Linked DNA regions of Mus musculus: all the other regions are reported to be linked to region 1. The links are microRNA targets in miRTarBase. Many come from high-throughput screens and were not tested one by one. Region 1 holds a microRNA gene; each other region holds the end of a gene's coding sequence.

What was found. The annotated mature microRNA mmu-miR-410-3p reads AAUAUAACACAGAUGGCCUGU and lies in region 1 at 4,392-4,412, opposite strand. An mRNA with a match to its seed (bases 2 to 7 or 8) in the 3' UTR can be bound and repressed. Matches are read on the target gene's strand: a 7mer-m8 pairs with bases 2 to 8, a 7mer-A1 pairs with bases 2 to 7 and ends in A, and an 8mer does both.
Region 2: the mRNA of Ret is a reported target of mmu-miR-410-3p. Seed matches in the 3' UTR shown: 7mer-A1 at 4,306-4,312.
Region 3: miRTarBase lists Wnt3 as a target of mmu-miR-410-3p. Seed matches in the 3' UTR shown: 7mer-A1 at 6,299-6,305 and 7mer-A1 at 6,306-6,312.
Region 4: miRTarBase lists Tex12 as a target of mmu-miR-410-3p. Seed matches in the 3' UTR shown: 7mer-A1 at 6,537-6,543.

What each region holds. Positions count from the first base shown.
Region 1 is chr12:109,741,056-109,748,175 of GRCm38, reverse strand. It overlaps Mir410 (microRNA 410), which reads right to left and starts at 4,461; the gene lies at 4,381-4,461. It overlaps Mirg (miRNA containing gene), which reads right to left. Exons shown (of 8, transcript NR_028265.1): 3 at 6,361-6,486; 4 at 5,886-6,114; 5 at 4,758-4,819; 6 at 4,329-4,510; 7 at 1-51. It overlaps Mir541 (microRNA 541), which reads right to left and starts at 5,767; the gene lies at 5,678-5,767. Mir409 (microRNA 409) reads right to left here and starts at 5,018; the gene lies at 4,940-5,018. It also overlaps Mir412, Mir369 and Mir3072.
Region 2 is chr6:118,149,418-118,156,537 of GRCm38, reverse strand. Ret (ret proto-oncogene) reads left to right here. Exons shown (of 19, transcript NM_001080780.1): 19 at 1,103-4,790. The coding sequence ends at 1,282. Among named protein-coding and RNA genes, the nearest start is that of Csgalnact2, 14 kb to the right of the region's middle.
Region 3 is chr11:103,811,632-103,818,751 of GRCm38, forward strand. Wnt3 (wingless-type MMTV integration site family, member 3) reads left to right here. Exons shown (of 5, transcript NM_009521.2): 4 at 650-1,137; 5 at 4,446-6,390. The coding sequence ends at 1,129. Among named protein-coding and RNA genes, the nearest start is that of Gm35365, 31 kb to the right of the region's middle.
Region 4 is chr9:50,550,642-50,557,761 of GRCm38, forward strand. Tex12 (testis expressed 12) reads right to left here. Exons shown (of 5, transcript NM_025687.3): 5 at 6,507-6,850. The coding sequence ends at 6,706. It overlaps Bco2 (beta-carotene oxygenase 2), which reads right to left and starts at 4,497. Exons shown (of 12, transcript NM_133217.3): 1 at 4,380-4,497; 2 at 1-100. The coding sequence starts at 61. It overlaps Il18 (interleukin 18), which reads left to right and starts at 4,059. Exons shown (of 7, transcript NM_001357221.1): 1 at 4,059-4,336.

The sequences.
Region 1 (7,120 bases):
AGGGTTCCTTGAACATCCGCTCCTGAGGACCAATTCAGCGTTGTCACCTGCCTAAAATTGAAAAGACAAGGTCAGAAGTGTTCACAGTGTTTCCGCTTTACCACACGTAGGCAAGCACAGGTTCACGCGGAAGCAAGTTAGCAAGGGCCCCGCCACAGTTGCGTTGATAAAAGATCACATGATGAACATCCGAGGACAAAGTGAGATTGTGTGTTGGGCTGGAGCAAGAAGGCTTCCTGGAGGGGGCAGGGCCTGGGGCAGCCTGCCCTCCCTCGGGGTCCCTCGCACTCAACAGCCCTGCCACCTTCATTGGGAGGCTGTTGTTCTGTGATCTGCTAGCTGCCCTCCACGTTGCAGGGATAATGAGAAAATGATGGACGAGCCTCCATCAGGCCCCATGTCCCAGCCCTTAAGCCTGTCCTTGCCCATGACAAATGACCCCACCACCTCCACAGGGTCTTTTCAACAGGCCCAGCTGTGGTGTTGGTAATGTTGCTAGAGATTTATGTTGTCTTTCCCTGGACGTTTCTTCCTCTCCCTGTTTCTTAATTTCCTCAAAAAGGGTGTGCTTTTACTTATTCATTCCACAAACAGTCTCTGAGCTTTCCCACAGCCATCCATCTTTCACCTCCTTGCTGCTGATGCCTAAACCCATTTGATGCAAGGAAGACAGGCATCTCCTGAGCATCGACTATGAGCAGCTCGAGGGGTACACAGGTTGCCACAGCCCCTCAAGTCTTGACAAAGAAACTTTACTGACTCACTCTATCTCTAGGACAGCCCTAGCCAGCTCAGCACACAAGGGTGTGTAGCTCTCTAGCCATTGACCAGATGCATCAGGTTCACACCCGCACACACATGGCGGTTTTGTGATGGAGCAGGCAGCCCCTCCTCAGGCCACACATGAAAGAAAGCATCTTAGTTAACTTAGGTAAACTAAAAGGGGAAAACGACAATCCTGACAATTCCAGCAAGCAATGTCTTGGGGAAAGTAATCCTGCCTCACTGTTCAGAAAGAACAGGGAGCAAGTCAATGAGCTGTCTATCACCTATGGAACATGGGGTCTTCTCTGGAGAGACACAAAACAGTACAAGCAAAGATCTTAAGGACATCCAGCCTGGAGCCCTGTCTCTAGCTGTGTGATCCTGGGAAGACAACTCCACCTCTTTGAGCCAATCTTTCCTCACCCTCCACACATGCTTATTGGGGACAGCCAGTACACACACACACATACACACACACAAGCTACACACCATCTCCTTGAAAATAGTAAAGGAACAGACCACTGCCTTAGTCTAACCACACCCCAAGGAACTGTGGGATAGGCAAACTGACTTGATCACCTGAACTAGCCTGTGTCCTGTGACCTTGGCACATTAGGTTAACACGCTATCTTGGGAATGGTGAATTCTCTGACCTCTGAAAGTCCCCCACCCCAGAGGCTTTCCTCCTGTCTGCCTGAGGGGCAGACATTTTCACTTGACTCACTGGATGAGAAAAGTCCTTTATTTGTCTTTTCTTCTTCTCAAACAATAGATAAATCTAGTAATTTTGCTTTTAATAAAAGTCTGCACCGAGCAGGAGGGACCATCCTCTTAGGGTCTCCAATGAATTTGGAGTGTGCGTGTCGGTGGTTGCTTGGCACCCCAGCTGACATTCCATCTTGTACATAATACTCCCTTGGTGGCTGAGGTACCTGGGGCTTTCCCCATCGGTGATGCAGAGACTAGGGGTAGCCTATCTGTGGATGCCGTGGTGTGACTGCGCTTACACTGGAGCAATTAAATGGAGAGATCAGCAGCCTTCTTGCACGCGTTTAATATATTCCAAAGATGTGTCATTAACAGCAATTTCCATCTCCAAATGTTCCCATTTGCTTAGGTCCATGCATAAAATATTAGCCCTGACAGCAGCTCAGGCCTGCTGCACGAGGGCCTCTGAGGGGCCTCTGGCTTGCTGCCACGGAGACGTTCACGGAGTGGAGGGTGGGGGTTGTGCTCAGATGAATTTGAAGCCTAGCATGAGACCCCCAGCTACAAAAGTAAAGAAAAGCCCGCAGACATAGCTGACCTGTCTGTCCCCTATCGCTGTACGTCTCAAAAATCGGTGACTAGCTGGGGTGGGAGGCCTCTAACAAATGCAAAGACTAAGTGAACCCAGCTTCTATATTTATGGAATCAGCCACCACATCTTATGGAATTCCTGCTTCATGCTCACCACCTTCCTGGGGATTAACCTAATATGGTTTCTGCCTTTGGGGACTCTATTAGTCAATCAGCACACTCCATTATTCTGTCACTATAGACCTGGCCTGGATCCTAAGGCTTAGAATACAGCAGAAGATAAGTCAGGGAAGTAAGATGGGAGGGAGGGAAGGGGTAGGGAGTAAAACAGAGGAAAGAGAAAAGACGCAAAGGAAAGGTCCTCGTCTGCCTTGGGAAATCTTAAAGCTTTTTTCTTTTCTTTTCTTTTCTTTTCTTTTCTTTTCTTTTCTTTTCTTTTCTTTTCTTTTCTTTTCTTTTCTCTTCTTCTTTTTTTTTTTTTTTTGTTTTGTTTTGTTTTGTTTTGTTTTGGTTGGGGTCAGGGAGAGGCTGGGAACCAAGGTACTAGGCAGTTTGGGAAAGCAGGCACCTGGGGAGCCATAGCTGACAAGCAGTCTGATGTCATATCACAAAGGAAGGAGCTGGATAAGAGTGTCAGGCTGCCTGCACTGTCACTGCAGAGCAGGGAACACGATCCCCTCCGAGTCTTGAACTCCTGTGGAGGGGGCCTACAAGCTTGAGGACCAAGGAAGGGGGATGGACTGTGGGAGACAGTAACCAGGACCAACTCCCAGAGAGAGGGCGCCTGGGCAGACCATCCTGAACAAGAGAAGAAATCTAAAGGAGACCATGTGCTAGGTACAAGCCAGGGTGCGCAGCCACTATCTCTGTTGGAAGAGCATTTTGCTGCTGAGGAGGCCCAGAAGAGGAGAAAAAGCATGCAGGGTGGAGTTGCCAGGGTGAGGGTGCTACTTGCTCCAATGGGGAGCAAGCCCAATCAGAAAGAGCTCTTTGCCACCCTGGGGAGCCTTACTAAATACCAAAAATCTATAGCCTGTCTTTCAAAGGCTCCTACTGGGTGTGATCAGGTACTTTCTGGGGTCCTTGAGACTCTAGGTCAAGCCTCTACAGTAAGCTCACAGGAGTCTGACAGAGCCAGAGTGTTAAGTTGGAGGAAACATGAAGAAGTGCAGGCTACATTGGACACGCAGACTTTGTGTGCCCCGGTACAGGGGAACGCCAGGGCCAAAGGGGGGGAGTGGGTGGGTAGGGGAGTGGGGGTGGGTGGGTAAGGGGGACTTTTGGTATAGCATTGGAAATGTAAATGAGCTAAATACCTAATAAAAAAAAAATGAAAAAAAAAAAAAAAATAAAAAAAAAAAAAAAAAAAAAGAAGTGCAGGCTAATCCCTACTGGGCCCCCTGTGCTCGTGAAGCAGGGACAGAGCTTGGGTATCACTGCCTTGTAGACTCAGGAGGACATTCTGTGCTATTTCCAACAGGGTGGCACTGAGGACAAGACAGGCCAAGGGATGGTCTCACATACAGACTAGAGAGTCAACCAACACAAAGGCTTCAGTTCTTGGCATCAATGCCTCAAAGTAGAAATGGTCTAGGGTAGGACATGGTGCAGAGAAGTAGGCTGTGGGATAGTCATCAGATAGAAAACAAACGTCTCAGAGACAAGCTAGCTCAGGTACCACCAGCACGGACTCTACTTAGGATGCTTCTTCCTCTAAGATGCCCTTCTGGACTTCCCAACCCCCACCTCAGGAGATGTGAGGCTCTGGGTCAGGATGAGTCAGCTACATGCCTGACCATCAGTGGTGTCCAGTGGGTCAGCAAAGTGTGTCCCTCCCCTGACACCCATGCTCACACAGTAAGAGCCAATGATAAAGAGAGGTGACCATGCACTGTACCAGCATTAAGAATGGAAACCCGTCACGGGCAATCTCACCTCAGATACTAGGAACTGCACGTGTAACCAACTGGCCTGGCTCTTCCCTAAGTATCATGCTAGCCCCTCCAAGCCCTCATGGTATTGAGAAGCACCCAGGGTACAGGGCATTTGAGCATGCAGCCCTCGGTGGAAGCCTTAGACAGGGACAAACACCCATTGTTGTGGCGGGAAAGAGGCATGGAAAGTGGACAGCCATCCATTGCACATCTGGCCAATGCTTCGTGGCCCAGCCTACAAGGTTGGTGCGATCCCAGGAGGCTCCTCAGAGCTGAGGTTCAGTGAAGAGGGGGTGACAAGCGTCATACAGAGTCCATGCATTTACCTACCGGGCAGTGGTGTGACACCTGGTATGTACTGCCGAGTGACCGGAGTGGCAGGTGGTATTGAAAACAGGCCATCTGTGTTATATTCGTCATTAATAAAGCGAACTCATCACAGACAACCTCTCCTCAAGTACCCAGTGTTGACCGCAGCAACCCTGGAGCTGGAATCACCACCTGAAGCTGTCCTGGGGGGAAGGGGGGGATTGCATATAAATGGTGAGTAGGGTTGACACAGGCAGCACACAGCCTGTTCCACCCAGCCCAGTTCCCCGCGGAGGCAGCAACCTAGAAGCACCATGCTGTCCCCACCCCCACAGGGGCTGCAACTCCAAGAGCTTCTCCAAGCTGAGCGTTGATACTGAGAAAAGATCAACCATGTATTATTCGAAGTCAGCCAAGCGAATATAACACGGTCGATCTCCCTTCAAGTACCAGCAGAGGTGTTGAGCTGAGGCTGTGACATCCTGGGCGCAGGCTGCAGCGGGCACCGACGGCTAGTGGACCAGGTGAAGTACATTAGAAACAATTACTTTCCAGCTGGTCGACCATCCGTCCCATACCCCAGAGCGAGATGAGTCCATGGTCTTCCCTGAGGTGGCCTCCCTGGAGGGATTTGATACCGAAAAGGGGTTCACCGAGCAACATTCGTCCTCCAGATGCAAAGTTGCTCGGGTAACCTCTCTCCGAGTACCACGGAGAGGCTCGGATGCTCAGAACGAGGCCGATGGCTGAGTTTCCAGAAGAACCATCCTGGAGCCCCTCAGAGATTATAACTCCCCATTCAGTGAGGAGCCACCCTCCACCACGTGAAAGCAATTATTCCATCACCTCCCCAGTGCAATCTACCACCCTTTCACCTTCCAAGAATATCTAAAGCCTTCCCAGACAACCTTGAGACCCAGGTAGCGAGGAGCTGACTCGGGGCAGAAGTGGGTGCAGAACTCTGCTTACTCTATCTCTCCTTTGTAAGCTGGAGATAGGGAGATGCTGAGACCCTGCGCATATACCACACCACCCTCCCAGAGACGATGCCTTCCAGAAGCGAGGAGGCAATGACTGCATCATCCAGAGATGCTCCTCCTTGGGCCCACCCAACCACTGCAGCCCCACGACCCTGGCATCCCCGCCCTGTCACCTGCCCCCTCCCCCCACGGTGATGTCATAGCAAGAACTGCTTGACCATCCAGTCCTATAAACCAAGCAAGTAATGCTTCAAAGATAAACATGGAGGGAGGAGAGAAAGAACAGCGGAAGGAGATCCCGCAGGGTCCCCTTGTGCCAGTGTGTATGGCTGCCCCGCACGAGCACGCCAGGGAGGGCTCTCCAGTAAGGGTCAGGATCCATTGACTTAGGCCATAAGCAGAGTATGGATTCTGTGTTCGCCACTCATTTTAAAACTCTTGGAGTGTGACCAACATCAGAATCCCTTCTCTGATTTTGGCAAGAGTTCACACAGGCTTCTAGCCTTGCTGCAGGGCAGCAAGAGACTGGTCACATGCAGTGTGTCATACGGGGAAAAGACGCCACGGGCAGCTTCATGTAGGTGTTCTGGAAACTGACCTGTGGGACAGAGGCTCTTTCCCCAGCTGGCATCACCTCCTGGAAATGCTCCTAAGAGGCACACAATGGCGATGATGGTGGCTAACGGTAGCTACAAGATCCAGTCAACAGTATGGGGAGGGAAGCTTGTCCAGGTTCTTCCTCCAAGCACTTGTCCTGGAGAGAGCTCCAGCCACTGACCAGTTCCAAGACAATGATGTAGCCTCTGGAGTCCTTTGAGGTAAAGATCCTTTTGGAAAGAGAGCCACCATGAAACCTGGTGCTCATCACACCCCAGATAGTATATTAGACCCTGGATACATCCACTCTAAAATGACCTCCCGTACGGGCCTAGCCCTTCAGCACCAACAATGGGTACGTCTTTAAGCCTAGCCCTGGGAGCTGGCAACATGGAAACCCAAGGAAGGGCAGGCCCTAGAATGTTCCAGGTACCAACTGCTCGGCAAGAGCAGACTCCCCAGAACCAGTGTCTTACCCGGAATGTTTCATGAGGATCGAGGAAAGTGAAGAAGACTGCTCAGTGGGCACGTGCTCTGGCACTGGTACCCAGTCACATCCTCCAGGTGACACCCGCCAGCTTCTGAATACTCCATGAAGCTCTCTGTAAAGGTTTGGGATGGGAAAATAAAGTTTAGCCACATTAAAAAAAAAAACCCACATGGTGACCAGTCCTTCTTATCACCCCACTAGCTCTAGTCTATATCCATAGATTTCCCCATCTCAAACACCACACCCACATTGATTTTCATAAAAAAACATGCATTTCTTTCCTTTTTTTTTTTTTAAAGTAAATTCCATTAAACTAATCCAATTCCCTGTTTAGCTTCCTTGACTGTGCTGTTGGGCCATTTTCATTTCTTTTATTTCCCTTGTTATTTCCTCAAATCATTTTCATTAGGATCAATTCTTTCCCATTTAAAAATCTGAACGAAGATTTGATTCCTCAATGTGCGTTCATCTACCACAAATATTACTGCTCATAGCATCCGCCACTACTGAAGCTGCCCCTTGCGGCTGCCATGTCTACAGAGTACTGTTTCCCCAGGTCAAATGTCGCAGCTCAAATGTTGTCAAGAAAATTGGATTCTTCTGCCAATTTGTAGTCAATTGAACACATTTTCCTCCAAGCTATTCTGGTAGTTTGTGGTGTTATTTTGTGATTATTTTATCACTATTATTTAATGTAAACGGGATGAAATGCTGGTCGCCTCTATTCATTTCCTAACCCATCCAAA
Region 2 (7,120 bases), not on the chromosome of region 1:
TGAATAGTGTGAAAATGGCCATCCTGCTAAAAGATTGAATCTACCATTCCGTCTCTATCAAAATAACTGCACGGCTCTTCACAGATCTTGAAAGGACAATTTTTAATCTCATATGGAAACACACACACACAAAAAAAATCCAAGATAGTTAAAACAATCCTGATCAATAGAAGAACTATGGGACATATCACAATCCCTTATTTCAAGTTATATTACAAAGCTAAGTTAAAAAAAAAAAAACAGTATGGTGTTGACACAGAAATAGGCATGTTGATCAGTGGAATCAAATTGAAGACCCAGACCTATAGACCCCTGTTTTTTGATAAAGAACCCAGAAATACACTGGGAAAAGACAACACCTTCAACAAATAGTGCTAGTCAAACTGGATGACTGCCTGAAGGAGAATAGATCCACATTTATCACCCTGCACAAAACTCGGCTCCAAAAGCATCAAAGAACTCAAAATAAAATGGATACATAAAATGGATATACTGAATCTGATAAAGAAAGTGAACAACCTCAAATACATTGACACAGTTTTGTTGTTTTTTGAGAAAATCTTCCAAGATTTGTGGGTTCAAGGTTGTCTTGAGCAGAAGTAACAATAGATGCCAAAATCGCGGTGTTGAGAAACAGCCAACCCAACACTGGAATCGTCTACATAGTTAAGTGGTACAATATTAAGTGGCAAGCATCTTGCGTTTGTTGTACATGGGAGCTGAGGTCCCTGCATCTGTATCTGTTCCCTGTAACAGAAGAGGTCCTGGGAGGGAAACTGAAAAGCATCCATTGGGTTAAACCTACCACTTGGCACACTATGTTTCTACAGGAATACTGTGACCAGGAGTGCTTTCAGGCCAGGACTATACAGAGAAGCCATTTCCCCAGCCCTCTGCTCTTGGTTGGATTAAGGAACCTCAGTGCCTTACCTCAGTGTTACCCTCCAGGATGGAGGCTGTGGTCTTAACAGAGAGGCCAAGAAACAGTACAGGATAGGGGTACAACCAGCACCTCTGCCCCATGTGCATTAAGGGTCCCTGGGTATGTTTAGGAATGGCCCAGGGTCAAGGATAACTGGCCATCTCTTTCTCTCTCTTCCAGGACTACTTGGACCTGGCTGCATCCACACCTTCGGACTCACTGCTGTATGACGATGGGCTCTCAGAAGAGGAGACACCCCTGGTGGACTGTAACAATGCTCCCCTCCCGCGCTCCCTCCCTTCCACATGGATTGAAAACAAACTCTATGGTAGAATTTCACATGCATTTACTAGATTCTAGCAACGCTGTCCTCTCTGCACCATCCCAACTCTCTGTAACGCTTTTTAAAGAGTGTTTCTGATCCCACCGACACCAAAGCCTCCTCCGAACCCTTTTCTTTGTAAATATCTGACTTTGCATCTAGTTTACATACATTCAGGCATTTTGCAGCTATGTCTTTCTAAAAGGATGTGAAAATAAGTGTCATTACCACACAGCCCAGCAACTTACGATGACACAGGAGAAGCGGATTAGAGCAGAATTCTCAGGGCCCATTGGGAAGCAAATCATAGTACTGGTGACTTCGATATTTAAATTTACCTGATCTGGGGAGGGAGTCAGTTTTGCCAGGGAAAGCTGGCATCCCCAGCTATGCTATCGTTGCAAGCTGGGCTACCCCCAGGCTGCTCCTGGGCTGGTGTGTGCCTCGCGGAAGCCGACCATAATCCCACTTCCAGCTATGTGTCCACAGCCGTGCAGTGTGGGGCAGCGGGAAAACCATGTGGGCCCTGGGCAGACACCAGACTGCTGCTTTCACATCCTTTGCACCCTACCCCCATCATGATGTTGTCACTCACGAAGCCAGTGCTAAATACTGAGCCAATGCTTTCTGAAAGAACATAGTCTGTGGTGCTGTGGCCTTGCAATGGACAGTAAATACGGCTCTTGCCAAAACTCCTTCTTTGTCTTGGATTAAATACTTGAAATTTTTTTTCTGCTTCCTAATCTCCTCATTGATGCTTTTTGAAGTCTTGCAGTTTCAAGCTAAGGTAGGTTCTTTCCTGCATGCTTCCTGAGTCACAGGTCCTCACTACCTGCCTTGTGCCTACAGTGCTGCGGGGGCAGCCTGTGTGTGCCCCCTGTGGGAAAGGAAGTCTTCCTCCTCCGTGTTAGCAGGGATGACAGGTGAACAGCCCCTAGAGGGTTCCCACTACAGGAAGCCATATAGTCCAGCCATTCGCTGATGCTTTACACTGTCCTGGGAAAACAGTTGAGCATTTCACCAGATCTGTTTCAGATTTGAGACTCTAAACTCATAGGCTTTGAGATTTGGTAGCCTCTGCTAAATTACCTGTACCAGGAGCATGTAAGGTTGCCCCATGTAGAACAGTGTTTTGGAAACCTGGGATGCAAAACCATTAATGGAATTGGCACGGAAAGCGCAAGTTGGTTTAACCATCAAAGGGAGTTTTGCCAAGGCCTTACTGTCTGCACATGAAGTTTGAGTTCTTCAGTGCAGAACAAATTATCTGTTTTCATTTTTAGGCATGTCAGACCCGAACTGGCCTGGAGAGAGTCCTGTACCACTCACGAGAGCCGATGGCACTAGCACTGGGTTCCCAAGATATGCAAATGATAGTGTATATGCTAACTGGATGGTTTCACCCTCAGCGGCAAAATTAATGGACACATTTGATAGCTAACATTCCTTTGTGAACGGTAATGGACTCCCAAGGGGGAAGAAACATGCCAAGAGCATCAAGTCCACCGGCCCCTTTGTGCACATCATACTGGCCAAGACCAGCCTTAGGTGGCAGACTTGTTTTCTGTAGTTTGTTTTAGCTGGTTTCCAAATGGTTTTACTTCAAATAGCTGGTGGTCCTCCCTCCTGGTGGTCTGCCCTCCTAGCACACCTGCCCCATTGGGTGGGTGCTCTGAGTCTCTGGTTAGATCCCCTTTCCCTTTAGCATTGGGTAGCACCTCTGTTGGTCTGCTCATCACTAGCCACCACGAGCTCTGTGTCCACATGTGTGGGGTCTGCCATTCATGACTTGGATGAGAAATTGTACCTGAACTGTCTGATTTTCCTGGCTGATAAAAAACCTACCACGTCCCCCCAAAAATGTTTTAACATGAAGCACACATACAAACAACATTGATTGAAAAACCTGGCCAGAACGACCTGTCCTTGTCTAGAATGAAAGCCTAGCATAGGACTGGGTAGTTGCATCCACCCGGGTCCACTAGGGCTGGAGGGGAGAAGGGAGCCTCCGGGCTGTCCTCGGCTCAATATATGACATCCTGAATATAGATTTTTGGGTTTTTTAGCCATGTAGCCTTTTCTTAGGAAAATGTTTTGTTTCTGTCATGGTTAAATGGCTCTTAGAATTAGCACAATGGAGAGATTTGGTGTTGCCTTTGCTATATACAAGGCAACTGGAAAGAAGTGACCCCACATGACCTAGTCCCCCTGTTGAGCCCTCGGCAACATTCACGCTGCGTGACTCCGACTCACTGACCAGAACAGGGTGAAGAAGCGGGGCATTTGGAGTAGAGTTGCCTTCAGGTCCAGTATTGCTGTCATCAGAGGCCTTGAGCCACAAATTCTGCACCCCCAGCAAGCCAGTCTGCAGTACACCCTACCCACCAAAGAGTGTGCCCACCCTCTGCTTGGGGACAGGTGGGTCTGTCTTGTTTTAATCCCTGGCTTGCCAGCTCATGCCCAAAGGGAAGGACAGTTCATCTAGTTGCATTAGATGTTTCCCTGACACTGACTGAGGTGAGAGAACAAGGTTTTGGCTCTTATAGAGCTTGTGTGAAAGGCACATGGGTCAGCTCTTCCGGCCGTCCTTTATGCTGCTATGGTACGTGTTTTGGTCTCTGTTCTAACCACGACTCACGTGTAAGGTTCTTGTCTTTCTATATGGGCAGTTGTAGCCACAGACACTCAGCACTCCTCTAGGGCTTTAGGGGTGGCTCTTGGAAGTTTCTTTGGCTGTCTGTGGACTGTCACTTCCCATGAAAAGGTCACATTACCAAAACACTGCCTGGTCTTCAGACTTGAAGCACTGTGATAGGACTTTAAATAGTCATAATAAAATACTATATCTTTATGGGCATTTCACAAACACAGTAAAATTGTGACATTTTATGTGGCTGAGAATGCTCAGATAAGTATACCAGATAGAGCCTTATGGAGTGTGTGTGATATTTGTGTGCACACATAGCCAGACAGACAGGAAGATGAAAAATGCTTATTTTAACATATAATATGGCTTTAGTTTTGGGCCATTTTTTTTTCAGATACACTGTGATAAGGTTTTTTATATAAATATCTCTAGTCATGGGACCCATTTTGTTTTTTCAGATGTGTTTAATGGTAGTTTTATTAAGTGCAAAAATACGGATGAATTCAAATTATTCAACATGCCTACACGGTAAGTGTGACTTGCTAGGGCAAGTTAGCTCTCAAGGGCTGAGCTCCAAGTCTAAATAGCTGGCCCATTTGTGAGGAATTAACACTTGACTAATAACCATTGTCTGTCTGTTCCTGAGATATAAAAGCACCCATACTTGTTAAAGTACCTATACTTGTTAGCACTATCAGACAGATTTTTCATCTACATATATGCAGAAGTTACCCCTTATTAAATATTACTGAGTATTAAGTAGCTATCTGTCAGCCACTAAATTTGTAAGATCTATTTAAGAAAGGCCATTAAACCATACCGTGTTGACTTGTTTTTGTAATCAAGGTGACTAAGGAAATAATTTCAGTTGTGTAAATAAAATAAATCATAAAATGTGTCAACTTTTTCTCTCGTTTTAACTTCCTGGTGCAAAAAACCTCAGCTTGCTCATTTCAAAGTTTCTACACATAACTAAAATGTCACAGCGAATCTGTTGTAATTGTGGGAGAGCAATAATGACGAGGGAGCAATGGCTCTTGGTGGTGTCACTGGTGGGTGTCTTGTACAACAACATTCAAGTGATAAGTCAACTAACCCTGTGACTCTAGGATTTCCTCCCTGCAATTGGAGACATCCCCCTTGCAGGTGACCTTCCTTAGAACAAATAGTGGCCAGTGTCGATATCCACTGGTCTCTGGAACTCTTAGCTGTTAATTTCCTGAAACATCAGTAATCTCTCAGTTACTAAAACTTAAAAAGTGCATAGTTGTGAGTGAACATCGCAGAAGGTGGAGAGAAACCGTCGTCAGCCACTTACAAAGTGTAACATACCAGCTACTTAGTTCATTCTAGCCTCCGTCCAGGGCAGTGACAAACGTGAGTTTTTAATACCAGTCCGGTCTGTGACCACAGTGTGTGTTGAGTGCAAAGAGCCTGAGTCACTTCCAGCAACTGCCTCGCCCCTGGAGCCAAACTAGGCCATCCTGACAACCTTTGATTCCTACTACTTGAGTCTGGACCACAAAAGCTGGAAGGAAATACATGCTGAAGCTTCAGAGGTACCTCGGGGCAGGCTTTTACAGAAGCATACTGGAAACATACTGTTTCAGCAGCATAAACTCCAGAGGGTCATGTGTCTCTGTGTCTTGTTACTTGTTACTTCCCCCCTTAAGAAAGAAATACCAACTCCTATGAAAGATTCCTTCCTCTCATGTCCTGCCATGTGGCCAGTTTATTTGGGTGGAGAACTAAGTAGATCCAAGAACATACCCTAGATAAATGCTTCCTAAATAAAGGAGAAGCATACTTCCCAGTGTATAAAGTAACCATTTCTCCCTAGGCATGCAGAGTGGAGGGCAGCCATCCCTCTCCTTTAAGCATGTTCAAATAGCACAGTCAGCTTCCTCTGCCTGTAGAGGGCTGGGCAGGAAGAGCAGGGATTCTGCGCAGATTGGCCACCCTGGCCTCTACTGCCAGCCAATACAGAAGATCTTTAATTGCAGCACCTTAGCTGAACTCCATGGCTTCCCACTTCACTGGGGATTCACAGGATGGAACGTCTTGGGTAAGCTCATGAGAAACCATATTTTGTGTATAGAGAGTGGTTAATTGGGCACATTACCATACCCTGTAGCAAAGCCATGAACCTCTTGAAGATAGGCCTCGTTCACTCCCAGTGCTTGAGAAACATGTTGAACGTTAAAAAAAATCACAAGTTTATTATTGTGACAATGGCATTGTGTGTTGTGACAAGTGACAAAGTGTTTCTCCAGCTACGGGGACGTTAAATTGCAAGACCTGGCTATTGAGACATCTCAGCTGAAGCTCAGGCATGGGAGACTTTGACAGGGACACCTCTCAGTTTGGTGGCACTGCAAGGAATGGGGTCAGGCAGTAAAGACTTGGAGCCCACATCCTGAGACCATTCTAGCCACTATGACTTTACCATCTCTGTTCTGTACTAGGATACCTGTGTCAGATGACACAGTAATGCAAGTTAAAAATAAGTGTTGCTAAGAAAGGTAAGGGTGCATTCTACAGCTTAAATATAATAGCCAGTTTTCAGTTTGGGGAAGAAACATTTTTGATATTTCATAATGAAGATATCTTGAAAATGGTCAGCTTCACCAATAAAAAGCTTAAGGTCCTTTTAAGTGTCTGTCTCATCTTTGTCATGCTTATACTTTCGTGGCTTTAGGAGCGTGCAGTCCCTGTTTAGGTCATACTTAAGGCTGCTTACACTACCTGAAGCCAGAGGATTGTTGTTGATGGATGGCACCTGTATCATAGCCCTGTTGTGAGGCCTCCATTCCCGTCCAGGCATGGCTTTCAGCTATCTTGGGTCTCCCTTGAAAGGTTTCAGGGACTTGGGAGTTTTCCGGTGACTCAGGCTATGGGGCCTGGTAGACTGACATTCTTGAATTCCTGAAAACCGTAGAGTCAAGGATCAGACCTGATGATACAGGAGCCTAAGGCAGGAAGGTCACCACTACAGTGTGTGACCCTCCATCAAAAAAAAAAAAAAAAAAAAAAGACGTGACTTTAAGGATGGAAGAATTATGACTTTTTGGAAAGTACGCAGAGAAGGAAGTATTATAGCAGAGTGCAATTTTAAAGGCATATGATAGGACTTGCCTGCATTGTGGCTGCCTGTTACTTGCAAAGGGTAGTTCTTAACTGCTAAGGGGAGAAGACACCAACCTTTTGAGGGGCTTGCAAGTTGTGCAGA
Region 3 (7,120 bases), not on the chromosome of region 1:
CCCTGGACCCCTGCCTTCACGGCCAGGTTCCCATCCACACCCCATAGTAACCCCCTGACCACCCTCCTTCCTCTCTTCCAGCTGTCCTTTGAATAGGTTTTTTAAAGTATATTTACTCATTCTCAGTGTGTGTATTCCATGTTGTGTATGTGGAAGTCAGAAGGCAACCTGTAGTGGTCAGTTCTTCCCACCATGTAGGTTTCCAAACTTGAATCATGCTTGATGCTGTTCCTGGATCTTTTGAGAAATCTGCCAAGGAGTGCAGTATGGCTGCCCCATAGGAACAACACCCATAGGCTACACTGGTTGGCAGGCTGTGCCTGTGTACGTCTGTGATGTGGTTGTGGGTTGGGGACTGACTCTGAATCCAAAGTAGGGTTTCCATAGCATAGCCCTTCCTATGCTCGTGGAACACTTAGCTCTCGGCCTCAGTTTTTCCATCTGTTCAATGGGAATAACAGTCCCTAGTTTGCACCACTTCTATGGATGAGGTGAATGTGAAGCCTGCTGGGGCCGGGGGTGTGACTAGGGACACTGGTTTCCACCCATTCTTCCTGGCACCAAGTAAGAGTAGAGGAGGGTGTGGTACAGAGGGGAAGCTTTCTCCCGGTGTGTCAGTCTGAACTAGCTGCTGCCCCTCTTTCCCTAGACCATCCTGGACCACATGCACCTAAAGTGTAAATGCCACGGGTTGTCCGGCAGCTGCGAGGTGAAGACCTGCTGGTGGGCCCAGCCCGACTTCCGTGCCATTGGCGACTTCCTCAAGGACAAGTACGACAGTGCCTCCGAGATGGTGGTGGAGAAACACCGTGAGTCCCGAGGCTGGGTGGAGACCCTGCGGGCTAAGTACGCGCTCTTCAAGCCACCCACCGAGAGGGACCTGGTCTACTACGAGAACTCCCCCAACTTTTGTGAGCCCAACCCAGAGACGGGCTCCTTTGGTACCAGGGACCGGACTTGCAATGTCACCTCCCACGGCATCGATGGCTGCGATCTGCTGTGCTGTGGCCGGGGCCACAACACGAGGACGGAGAAACGGAAGGAGAAATGCCATTGCGTCTTCCACTGGTGCTGCTATGTCAGCTGCCAAGAGTGTATTCGCATCTACGATGTGCACACCTGCAAGTAGTGAGCCAGGTAGGGCGCGGGGCGGGACGTGGGACTGCCCTCTCCTCCCATCCGCTAGGCCTGCTCTTCTGATTCTCGGCTTCCCAAGACGAACAAGTTCCCAAAGCTGAAGTCAGAAACTAGGCTTCCCACGCTTCCACGGGAATGGTCTTGGGGAGCGACTTGACGTATTTACACGAGGCTCAGATAATGACTGAGGGTGTGCACGTCAGCCACAAGCAATTGATTAAAATTCTTACACAAATTAGCAGTGATGAGCCAGACCAGATTTGTTCATGGCTGCTGGCTGTCATTAGTGAGCATCTATTCGGCCAGAAGAGAGGTTGAGGTCTGGTCCCAGCCATGCCCCTAAAAGTGTCATATCTCAGGGCCTCAGTTTCCCTACTGTCTAAAGGAGAGGTTCAAATGTCAGAAACAGGGGCAGGGTATGGTGGGACTGGCCTTTAATCCCAGCACTTAGGAGGCTGAGGCATCTGGATCTGAGTGTGAGGTCTGGCTGGTCTCCATAGAGAGTTCTAGGCCAGGACTACACAGTGAGACCCTGAGACAGTCACCTAGTAAGTCTCTCCTAACCCTGGGGCAGAGTCATTTCACATCACCCATGAACTGAGAGGGCAAGCTTTGACCTAACACAAATCCTCCAGAGCTTGGGAAGGTGGGTGGGGGAAGCCAGATCTGAAGCTTGGGTGGAGCGGGAGCACTCTCACCAAGTTTATGGAGGGAGACAGGAAAGAGGAGAGCTCCCAGTTCAGAGCGGCTGGGGTGAGTGACCGTGGGATAAAAGCCTGGTGGATTATGCTTCCAAGCTTCCCAGAGGTGGCCTGCATGCGTGGGAGGACCCCAAGAAAGGTCAGCCTGGAAGCAGAGTGATCCTAGAGGCTCTGGCATGGGCCAGTGTGACCCTTGTCTCTGTCCCCTCCCCTGAGAGGGCTCTGCTAGTGAGTCTGACTCTCAACTGGCTTTTCTTATTTGTCAACCAACAACTCTGGCTTCAGCATCTGTTACCTTCCCCGAGCAGCTGTGAGGAACGTGGGAAACCACATTGGTTCCTGGAAAAGCAGCTTTCTGTCCATCTATGGATGGCCAGCGCAGTGTGTTCCACCCAGGGACCTTGGAGCTGGTGACACACCAGAGCTGGTGGCTCATGTCTGCGCTCTGTAAGGGTGGGGGGGTACCTGACATCACAAGCCCATCTAAGAAGTTCCTTGTGGGGCTTAGGTTCCATTCCCAGGGTCCCTCTAGAACCATACAGGAGGCGTGGGTTTTCTTTATCAAGGTCAAGGCTGGAAGGAAGACAGCGGCGAGCTTTAGCGCTTCACGCGCCCACTGCTGAACCTCGCTCCTCATCTGCGCAGTGATGGCAGTATGGGGATCTTGATGGATTTTTATAAAGCTCAAGTTAGTGGGTGTGAATGCTGCTCTAAGTGTCAGGGTTGCCATCAGCGTTAGCACGGGGTTGCTGCAAAGGAAGATCCCATGGGCGTTCTTTCTGCTTTTCAAAGGGATGGGAGAAAAGTCAGCAAGTAGGAAGGTTGAGGTGGAAGGAAGCAGACCATGACGGCCGCCTTCTCTGGTATTCACTCTGACAAGAGTTAGCCCTGCACCCCCCAATATCAGATAGTACATACATAGCTCTGGCCGTTTTGAGGAGCTCTTGGTGTGGCTTCTTATCACTCAGCTAGAAGGGCCATTTGTCCTGACCACCCATGTCACTGAAGGTTAGACTTGAGTTAATGGCCTAGATAGACCCAGGGGTCTGCTTCCAGAAGCTTCCTATGTAGGCTTGCATAGGCCTCAGCATTGCCAACCCAAGCTTGATACATGGGGCAGTGTGGGTCCAAGATACAGAGCCCATGACTCCACTCCGTCCTTGCCCATGTGGGCAGCTGAGATCTTCCAGGCAGGGAAGGAGGTGCAGGGTGAGCCTTTGTTGTCCAGCAAATCGCTCCACTCCAATCCTTGCCTAAAAATGATCTCCTAAGAAGAATTGGGTGTAGCTGGGTAGTAGAACACTTACACCCCTGAATCAATCTCCAGTACTGGGGAGAGGGGAAAGCAGCCCCCTTTCCTCACATTCCTAAGGTAGACACTTGCTGTTTTTCTAGTATCATGCAGACATGTTTTTAAGAAGCTATGCCCACAGAGTTCACAGCCTTAATCCCTTCCCATGGGGTGGGGGGTGGAGGGGGGAGGAGGACTGGACTCTCAACCTCACACTTCCTGATAAGAAAGATCCCTCCCACTGGGATGTCCTTTGCCTCTCGGAGCCCAGGTTTCCTCCTGTGTGAAGTGATAAGGTCTGTGCCCTGCAGGGCTGCTCAGGAGCCAGACACAGCCATAAAGAGCCTGCTCTGGGCTCCTGGTTTGGAGCCATAGGCCAGAAGGTGGTTGAGACCTGGTTCCTTCCTGTCCTTTCACCCCCGAAGGCGCTGCTACTGATGGAAGCCAAGGGACAAATGGGCAGGGAGACAGCAGGCATAGAAGGCTCTGGCTTTTTTCTTGCACAAAGGGGCCACAGAGCAGAGCCCAGCAGGCCACATGCCCTTCTCTGAGAAGAGTTCAGCACAGTGGTAGCATCCAGTCCTCCCTAAGTGGGGAAGACACCTTCTCCATTGCTTGAGGTTTGTCCACTGTCTCCACTTAGCCACTAGCTTGGTATCCGAGTGCTGGTAGTTTACAAATATCTGATTTATTCTTTTTATCCCTATGTCGGAAAGGCTATGAATCTAGTCACCCCCTCTAACTGGCCCTGTGTCCTGGGTCTGTTACTAGTCTTTTGTGGGACCTTAGGCATATCCAGGTCGTCTTGCTATGCCTGGTTCAGCTCTGCCAGCAGCACCAGAGATGAGGGTTGGCTGGGGGTTGGGGGGTGCCTGGGGCGTGGCTCAGTACCTCAGATCCCACGGGATAGGGCTGTACAGAGTGATCATGCTCAGGAAAGCACCCTGGGAGGGAGTTCACCATAACTAGGTAGAGTCCGTTTCTTTTGGACAATTCACGGCAGTTGTGCGTCTGATGGCAGGCACTAGCCCTGCTGTGACTGGTGGCTCAGACTGGCAGGCTTTTCCGTCTCCACGTAGGAAGGGCAATGCTCCCTTGGTTACCTACAGTGGGCTTCCTCAGCTAGGAGGAGGTTTGAGTTGTGTGGATGCAGGCTCTGTTCTTCCTGAGGATGGCATGTCCTCCCTCAACAGCAGGCTCTGGGGCGAGGAGGGAGGCAGGGCTGGCAGCGTAGGCAGCCTGTGATCTTTGCATCCCAGGGGGTGATGTTGACAGCAGTTATGAGGTTTCTGATTCTTCCTGTTTATTTCCCAAAGGGCACTGGGAAGGGGTAGATTGTGCGGCTGGATCCATTCATCGAAGTCCCATGAGAAGCAGGATCTAGATCCAGGCCAGCCTTCGGCACTGGCCAGCAAGGAGCATGGACTGTTGCCAGCTGCATGTGATAAACGACCTGGACCCAGCCGGCCTCGGACGGACGGGCGGCTTCTTTCTCAACTAACGTCTCTCCCCCTGCTCTGGATGGTGTACGGCTTTACAGAGGGGCTTTCTTTATGGTTTTACCAGGGTCTGCTGGGGACAGACTCGAGGCTTACCTTTGCACATGTTAAAGAAAATAAAAATGAAAAAAAAAAATCTACCGCAACAGAACAGGCTGGGCTAGTGTGAGCTCTTGGCCTGGTGGGAAGGACAAGACCATGGCGAGATTCTGTGTCCAAGCTGCCTCTACTCGTGACATTCCAAGATGCCTCTGAGGTGGGAACTGTGAAGTAGGACAGAGCCCCGCAGTCCCCTCTTGTCCGTCGACTCCCATTTAAATTGGACATACCTTGTCGTTCTGAGAAAAGCCATAGATAGGTGTAGCTGGGATGTAGTGATGGGGAGGCCCCTGGCCAACAGTGGGAGCAAGATCTTGAGTTTTGAAGACCTCAGAGTTCTGGGCGGCCTGGGAAGCCATCTGCAGAACAGAGTTCCTTGTGGGCTCCTGTTTTCGCTAGCCCTGTTCTGCCCTGGAGCGACAGTCAGATCTCCACGCCCCTTTCTGTTGTTCTACAGTGTCCACCTTTACTACGCGTTTTTTTTTTTTTTTTTCATGATGACCTTGTAAATAGGTCAGATGTGGAGGCAGGTCTCTTCTGGCTCCATCCACCACACCCAGAAAGAATGGGCTGCTCTGCCCTTCTCAGCCTTGCTAACCAGCAGACACCGAGGAGAGCAGCGGGGCACCTTAGAGAGCAATCTAAACATGGTTGGCAGGTGGGGAGGGTAAAGAGTCCCACTTCCTTTGTGTTAGAAGGCAGACTACCCTGCGTCCTTTTCTCCCATTGGCTGAAGTAACCAGAAAGACAAGAGATCCTTAACAAGCCCTTCTTCCCACTTGTAAAAGGGATAGCCTATCTCAGTTCCCAAGGATCTGGATTAGATAGATATTCAAAAGAGGCAAGCAGCGAATGGAGGCAGCTCCCAGCTCTGTTCCCGACGCATGATGGTACTGGCTGGGTTTAGTAAGGTGGGTGGGGCTGCACGGATCAATCCATCAACTCCGTCTTAAGGAGAATCAGAAAGAGGAGATAAAATGGGGGAATGGGGCAGAACAAAGAATTTGTCCTTTCCCGCTTCTGTCTAGGGTCTGCTAATGCTGGCTTGACGAGGGGTCAGCCACTTCTTTCCTGTTGTGCAGTTGGCTTGCCAAGCAGGCTCCAGTAGGCCCTTGCCTGCACTCTCTACCATGTGACCATGAGCACTGCTCTAGGGACACCTCCCATCCCTTCCTAGCACCCCAAATGCCCCTTCCCATCTCTCCTTCCAGAAGTTGGAAATCAAGTCAACTGGATAACGCTTGTGTGAGGACACTTGAGCAGAACGGATACAACAATTTACAAGTCTCTTCATATCTATGTATTCTATATTAAAAGTGATAAAGTCATGTTTCCGGGGCGTATTCAAGTAGCTGACAAGTAATTATTTAATAATAGTACATGAGCGCATTGTAATTATCCTCGCCATAGTCAGGTAATAGCATCCAATGGGAGGTCCCTACCAACCTGCTGTATCCAAAGTTTTGTAAAAAGTTGTAGAAGTTGTTGATCTTTTTGATTTTATATTCAAAAAGTCTCTTTTTATAAATATTATTTATTATACAATGTATATACCTTTGAGTTAACTAAGATTATATATTATATAAATATATATATATTTGGAGAAAATCTATTTCATCATGCAGTTTTTTTCTGTTAAATCATTAAAGAGAAGGTAAACTTCAAACGGACACATTGTACGATGTGTGGAGTCTCCAGATTCGTCCTTAGGTCAAGGGTATCTGAATGTTGTGCTAATTAAATGGCCAAATTTACGGTCATTTCCTCTGCTCTCTAAGCAAGATGAGGTATGATGGACAGCAGATGTGACATGAGCCTTAAAGCATTACTTGATATTAAGTCAGTATCAAACAAGGAATTGCCAACTTGGGGAAGAACAAACCTGGTCAGCAATTCATTCATAGACTTGAAAAATTTCAACAACGCATGTTGATGTCTCAGATCTTTCTACAAGGTTCAGCCCAGGTCAGTGGGTCACAGGGCCTGCCATAGTCTTACTCCCTTTCTCACTACATACCCAACTCCAGTTGTGGGAGAAATAGGAATTGCTCAACTGTAAACAAAGCTGGACCAGAAACAGATAACAGCTGAACTGTGGAAGAGGTTGGTAGGTAGGTTGACCAGATGGTGTTCTGCCTGTGCTCTGGGCCAAGTGACAATGGAATTGTAGGTTGGTTTAGATAGGTTGCTGGGCAGAGCTCTGGGAAGGGCACTCTCTCCTTGGGCTGGAGTTTCAGTGACTCACCCGAAGCCTTTGCCTGTCATCTTGATGCTGTGCAGTTTTAGGATGATGGGTGGTCCTTCAGTTCTCAGACCTACCTCTAAAATATCCTCTTCAGTGTTCCTTTCTTCTGGTCTACCACTATTAGAGATAACGTATTCACACTGGCCAT
Region 4 (7,120 bases), not on the chromosome of region 1:
TCTCCTCCGCCGTGGTCAGCAGTGGGGCAATGCATGGCAGGCTCTGCTTCGGTCCCAACATGGTTTCCTGGTGAGTATTCCCTCACATACTCCTTCAAAACTGTAAAAGAGAAGCAAAAAGCACACACATGTACACACACACACATAACCAAATAAACATGCATGTATACACAAACAAGTTCACACATATACATAAACACATGTGCATGCACACACATGCATACACGCACACACACACACATACACACACACACACCATTGTTACAGGATCTCCAGTTAACGTGCTTGTTCCCTGACAGACAACTCTGTGAAATGGAAGTTTGAGGGAAGTATGAACCTAAACCGCATAGTCTCCAAACTCCTCTCTCCTCTTTCTCAGTCTCAAGGTACCAGCATGGATGCTCCATTCTGAACCACCCCAATCCTTAGCCGCAAGAGTAAAATTCTACCCTATAATCAGGAGCTGGGCATCATCCCTGTTACTTCATACTTAAAAGACTTCATAAGAACGAATGCAGAGAGGTGTGGTCAAATATAACTTTAGTTAGAACAAAGTTACTTGTAACTTTGGCTACAATCCTTTACTTCATAGAAGTTATCAGTGGTACACGAATCTAGACTAGAAAAATTAACAGATCAAACTTATCACAAGACATGAGATCTATGTTCTTTTGGCAATTTATTTTACAATATATGATCCAATTTCTTTGAAATAATAAATTTGCAGCACATGAGACCTTTTATTTCCCTAAATATGACAATTTAGTCAGGCCCAAGCTCTTTCTTGTTTTCCCAAATGACATTCATTTCACCCTGAATGCCCTCCCCAAACCTCTCCCTAAGAAAATTATAGCTGAAGATGTAGATCTGAGGTAAAGCGCTTCTCCAGCACCCATAAGGTCCTGTGCTGGATTCCAACACTGAAAAATAAAGCCACACGAGAAGAATGCCTGGCAGTTGTGGTGGCACACAACTGTAATGCCAGTGCTAAAAAAGGAGGAACATAAGGGGCCAGCCTGAGCTACCAAGTAAGCTCCTGTCTCAGCAGGAGAGGAGAGCAGTGAGGAGTGGGAGAAGTGGAGGTAGCTCACTTGCTTGCTATGTAACCCCAACACTCACATAAAGAACAACAACGGTAACAAAAGCACTAGGCACAGTACCAAGCCTTGTTATCCTAACAGTGAGTGAGGCGATGGAAGATTCCACTGTTCGCTGGCCCGCTGGTCTAGCCCAGTTAGTGATCAACTTCAGGGTCAGAGAGAAATCTTATCTCAAAAAATAAAGGTGAAAAACAAATTCTTTATCAACCTCTCACCTTTACACACACACACACACACACACACACACACACACACACACACACACACCAGAAAAAGTAAAGAAAATGCTACCTATTGTTCAAGATCTAACTCAAATATTACTTCCTTTAAAGAGCGTAGCCAGAGCGCCTAGGTTCAAATCTTGAGTCACTTCCAAAGTAAGGTTTTCAACCTCTCTGTGCTTTCCCTTCCTTTCTAAGACAGAAAAATAAAAATTCTTACCATGCCTAAGGTTGTAAGTGACCATGCAAATTTATAGAAAGCTTCAGAACACAATACATAAGCCTAAAATGTCTAGTGTTATTTAACTTTAAATGATCGATACAATAAGATGCACTATGGATGATTTTCTTTCTCTGGATTATTTTAGTTTTTCAAGGAAGAGCTAGACACTGCTGAGAGACTGAAAAGTCTCCCAACCCAAGAAGAGGAACTCGCTGCCTAGGGGGTCAGATGAGTCATCCTGCCATCCCATCTCAGTCCTGTCTAAAGATTATTTGCAACAGACGCACAATCCATTACTCTCTGGCACAGGAGCTGAAATCCGAATTCCTAGACTCCCAGACTCTACTCGATTCCTAATATATAGACTATTCCTAATAGTCTCTGGGGTGAAACAAGCAGGAAGTAAAAGGCAGGAATGATAGGTAGTATTAGCGGTCTTAAGAAAATGCTTTGAAGAAAAGCAAAGAGAAATCTAGACATTCCTTGCTCTTCTTTGGTAAACAGTGGTGAGTTTATCTTCTTCTCCCTTTAGATTAAGACTCCCTGATAAAATGTAGATTCCCTATTATACATAGAGTGAAATTGAACAGTCCAACTAGATACGCATGAATTATAAATACTTTATGTTTTATGTCTTTGCACCATGTGTATGCCTGGTACCCTCAGAGGTCAGAAGTGGGTGTTGGATTCCAGGGGACTGCCATTAAAGATGGTTGTAAGCCACCATGTGCATGCTGGGAATGAAACCCAAATCATTTAGAACAGCAGCCAGCGTCCTTAACCACTGAGCCATCTCTGTGGCGTCTTCATGTTAGATTATATTTACATATCTGTCTGCTCTATGCTCCATGTTACTGATCCTATTATACTCCTCAAACTTTTTGTATGGAGTACTTGATATGGCTGCCACCACCTGCTTACGCCTGTTTCCATTCTTGGCTTGGGAGATGAGCTATTCTAACATTTAACTGCTCTTTTAACTTTGCTGCTGTTTAACTATTCTGCTTCCCGTCAGCTTCCTTCTTCATTAGCTGGTAACTTTAGGCAAACATCTTAACCCTGCCAAACCTCAAGTTTTATCGAAAATAAAATAAGGGTTAAGAGAGGTTAATGACTCCTACTCAGACCTCCCATCATAATGAAATGCAATGATACTTAGCAAATGTTAATCTCCTCTACTGACCTCTTATCACCAAGGAAATGTCAAAGTATAACCTTGGACCTTTACCCTTTAATTTCAACGTTGGCCCTTAGTAATCTCATCTTGATTCGTAAGTTCTCCAGTTATGTCTTCGACCCGACTCTCAACTCTTTATCTCCTCTTCTGAATCAGCTCTTCCACCAGCAAACATCTCGCTTCAGTCTCTCTGTGGGCACTGAATTCATTTTGCTCACTCTCCTTACAGCACAGTTCTTCTGACCCCAGTGGCACAGGCCAGTAGGGGAAATTTGAAAAAAAGATGACTCTGTGGCTTACATATAAATTCCCCAGGCTCAAAATTCTGCACGGGTAACTCTGTCTTCATCAGTCTCTCTCCTGGGACTACAGATTTTTTCCTATCCGAAGCCCATCTTCCTCAGCCCTGGTACCTCAACTTCTCCTTCCTATGTGTCACTTCCTGCTGCCTAACTCAGGCCCTTGACTCTTTCTTGGCAGCCTCTCAGTTGAAGTCTGGAAAGAGAAACTTAGTGAGATGAGTTCCTGGAGCCACTGGACCATCTTAAGGGTTAGAGACCTCAGACAATTGCCTCCAGCTCTCATCAGGTCTAGAGATTCTAATTTATCTGGATGAGCGGGGAAGATGCTTTTCCACCAGTGCAATAATGTGAATATTAAATCTCCTACATGTAAATCTGGCTGCATCATTCATTCCTCCATGTGAATTCCATCCATTCAATCACAAATCACTTGTAATTGTTGAAACTACCTGAGCAGGCGAGGCACTTAAAGACCTCGTATGGCCCTCAGCCCACCCTAGCTGTTCACTCCAGCCTAGCTGGATTGCTCCCTAGTCTCATGACCATTCTATTCTCTTCACTTAGGATATTTCTCATCTCCTTCAGATGAAACTTGCATATGCAACTCAACCTTCAAGTTCCAATTTCTGGGTCACCTGCTTCTTAAGCACCGAATTCCCATTTCCTCGCTACAACTTCGGAGAGCTTTCTGGTGGCCCTTATCTTGCTGTCCTGTGTGATAAAAGGCCAGTGCACTTTACAACCTCTCCTGGCAGTATTCTTTGAATACAAAGTCTAGCTATACCTCCCCACTCCTAGCACCTAGCATGCTGCCTTACATACAATACAGCATACTATATAAGTTACTATGGTTAAATAACTTTATAATTAACTGTGCATATTGTTGCCATTTCTGGCAGTTCTATAATTAACCAATCACTGAAAATAAATCCTTGAAGTAGTAACTATAATAGAAAGCTACAGAACAAAAACCACAGGGTTTGAGACAGTTCCCCAGAATGCAAATAGGAGAACCAAACATTTGCATCCGAATACAAAGCAGTGGTTTTCAGCTGGGAAAACTCAGGATAGAGAAAAACCCTTTGAGGCATCCAGGACAAATCAGATCTCTGGGCTGAATCCTGCCCCAGTGCGTCACATTAGCTGACTGAACACTGGCTGTTCCCACAACGATGAGTACACCAATCCTGTGGTTGGTAAAACAAGCTTGCTTTCACTTCTCCCCTGTGGTGTGCTGCCTGCATCACACAAAGAGGCTTTGGAAGCCTGCTATAATCCTCAGGCCCCGGGCGCAGCAGTCCAACTGCAGACTGGTAAGTGGCCCAGGAAAGGAACGGGTAGAGGGGAGTCCCCTACCTGGGCGATGGTACACTGCCACAGGAAGAACCCTGCGGTGTCAAGAAGGCTGCTGAGGAAACGCAGAAACAGTTGAGAAATAGTATTTAACTCAGTTCTTAACTCAGGTCTTGAGATTTCTGAATCTGCAGCCACTGGCCTGATTAAGTAAATAATGAGCCTGGGTTGTCCCTGGCTCTGAGATCAAATGGGACTGGAGGGGAGGGAAAAGGAGAGGCGGGGCTCAAAACACTAACTTAGTCTCAGTTCTATGGCAAGTGTCCTAACCAACTCTAACCTTTGACATTAAAATTGGACCAATAATAGCCTCCCTCCTTAACCATTCCTTATTGGAATTTGCCCCCACCTGCCGCTAAGTCCATGGAACCAGATTCAGGGGTTCATTGTACAACTTCTCTCCTCTGAAATGATTCAGACAGAATGAAGTTTCAATTTAGACTGGCAGGCAATAGCTCACCCTTTTCCCTTTCCTCTCATCCCTTTTCTTTTACATTCATTAGGTGTTTGGGGTGGGAGGGGCGTTGTTTTTGGTTTAGTTTGCGTTGAGCTGGGTTTTCAAGACAGGGTCTTTCTGTATAGTCCTGGCTGTCTAGGAGCTCACTCTGTAGACCAGGCTGATCTCGAACTCACAGAGATCCACATGCCTCTGCCTCCTGAGTGCTGAAATTAAAGGTGATATTCATTAGTTTTATGAAAAGCATTCTCTCACAATAAAGCACAGACAGGAGACCATAAATACATATCACAGTACATAATTTTATTATTTTAACAAGTATCTTTGAGAACCTAAATAACAAACACTGCTTGGAAGCAAAAATAACAAAAAATGAGATTCAGCACCCCATTATTTTGTTATTGTTTTTTCTTTTCTTTTAATTCTAGCAATCTATGCAGAGCAGCTGGAATTCTCTGAGAGCTTAAGGACAGCCTGGCCTACAGAGTGAGTTCTAGGCCATCCAGGGTTTCATAGGTCCTGCCTCAAACAAACATGTAACTTGATGGAATGAAAATTTACAAGTTTACAAGCATCCAGGTAAAAAGATACTGCCTAATTTAAAAATACAAATTCCTTGTGGTGCCCTATTCTTATATTAGAAAATATACACAGAAAAGACCAATTGTCTATATGATAAAAAGTGGAGATAGATTTTTTTGGAGCCAACTAATGTTATATATTTCATAGACCATTTTTAATAAAATCATAAATGTGCTTTATTTGAATAGAGGAGGAATTTTTCATCTAAGAGATCCTCTGGACCAGCATTTCTCAAACCTGTGGGTCATGACCCGTTTGGGGTCAGACAACCCTTTCACAGGAGTCTCCTAAGACCATCAGAAAACACCGATATTTACATCCTGATTCATAACAGTAGCAAAATTACAGTTATGAATCAGAAATAAAAATAATTTTATGTTGAGAGTCACAACAACATGAGGAACTGTAATGGAGAGTTGCAGCATTTGGAAGGTTGAAAACCACTTCTCTAGACCAAATTCCACTTCATATTATCATAAGATAGGAGTGGCCTGCTGAAGCCATGTTTAAGCCATGATCTCCTGAGTCCCACATTACTAATTTCCTTTCCATATCATCCACTCTAACTAAAGCTTCTAAATATAATTCATAAACTTTACAAATCAATGTGGTTAATAGGTAAAAAGCCACTTGACAGCCAGACTTGTTGGAATATAACCTTAATGCTGATACTAGGTAGGGAGGTTGAGTCAGGTACACCATGAATTCACCTGGATTCCATATAGCATGACACTTAAAAAAATAAAAAAATAGCCAGGTTATAGTAACTTCCAGTTTTTATTTTTATCATAAGAAAATATTTTAAGCCAAATTTTTATTAGTCAAATATAATGGTTAAAAGTAAAAATAATCAAATGGAAATATTAAATAGTAGTAGCACACTTATATTTTATTATATGTTAAGAAACTGGACAAAATACCTTTAATGTTTTAATGTTCTTTTATAATAAAAATCAAGAAAAACACTTTAAAACTATCTCAAAAATCATCTGCTATTTAAACAAATATTGTTAAGCATAATCAAATTAACAGAGTCCTCTTTCATAGTTTAAGAAGGGCTAAGCAATTTAGGAGTAAACAATAAAGAAAAGAACATGCATATAATTTTTAATTTATATTTTTATATAATGTGCCAAATATTTGACCCTCAAAAGAAATATTACACACTTCATATTAATATCTATCTTAAAACTTCTTTTAAATTTAGAAAAAGTTACAGTTTAATATATGTTTTCTCTAGCAAGAAGAACACAGCAGTAACAGGAAAAACTTTTAGCTGGCATAGGCACATTACTTGTGTAGGGTGTTGGTAATTACTGTAAACCTCTGCTTCAGGAACTCTCTTTTTTGTACTAGAAAGTTTTCAATAATATTGGCTTCTTTGAAGAGTCCATCTATCTCATCGATGTAAGATGCATCTACTGCTGCTCTTTCACTAATAGAGAAAAAGTTGACATTAAAACAAGTTATAAAAAAACAAGTTATGAAGTCTAGATACATCATCAATGTCATATTCTTTAGTCTTTATCTGTTAGCTATTTTATTTTCATGGCTTTGTCCACTAGAGAGCTTCATTAATTTACTAATATTTTTTCAGGATAAGTTAAAGCAGTCTAGAAAATATTTTAGATCATTTAAAACACACAAAGTGTATCTTATGCACTATAACTAATAACAAATTATATAAATTATTAAAATTAAACTA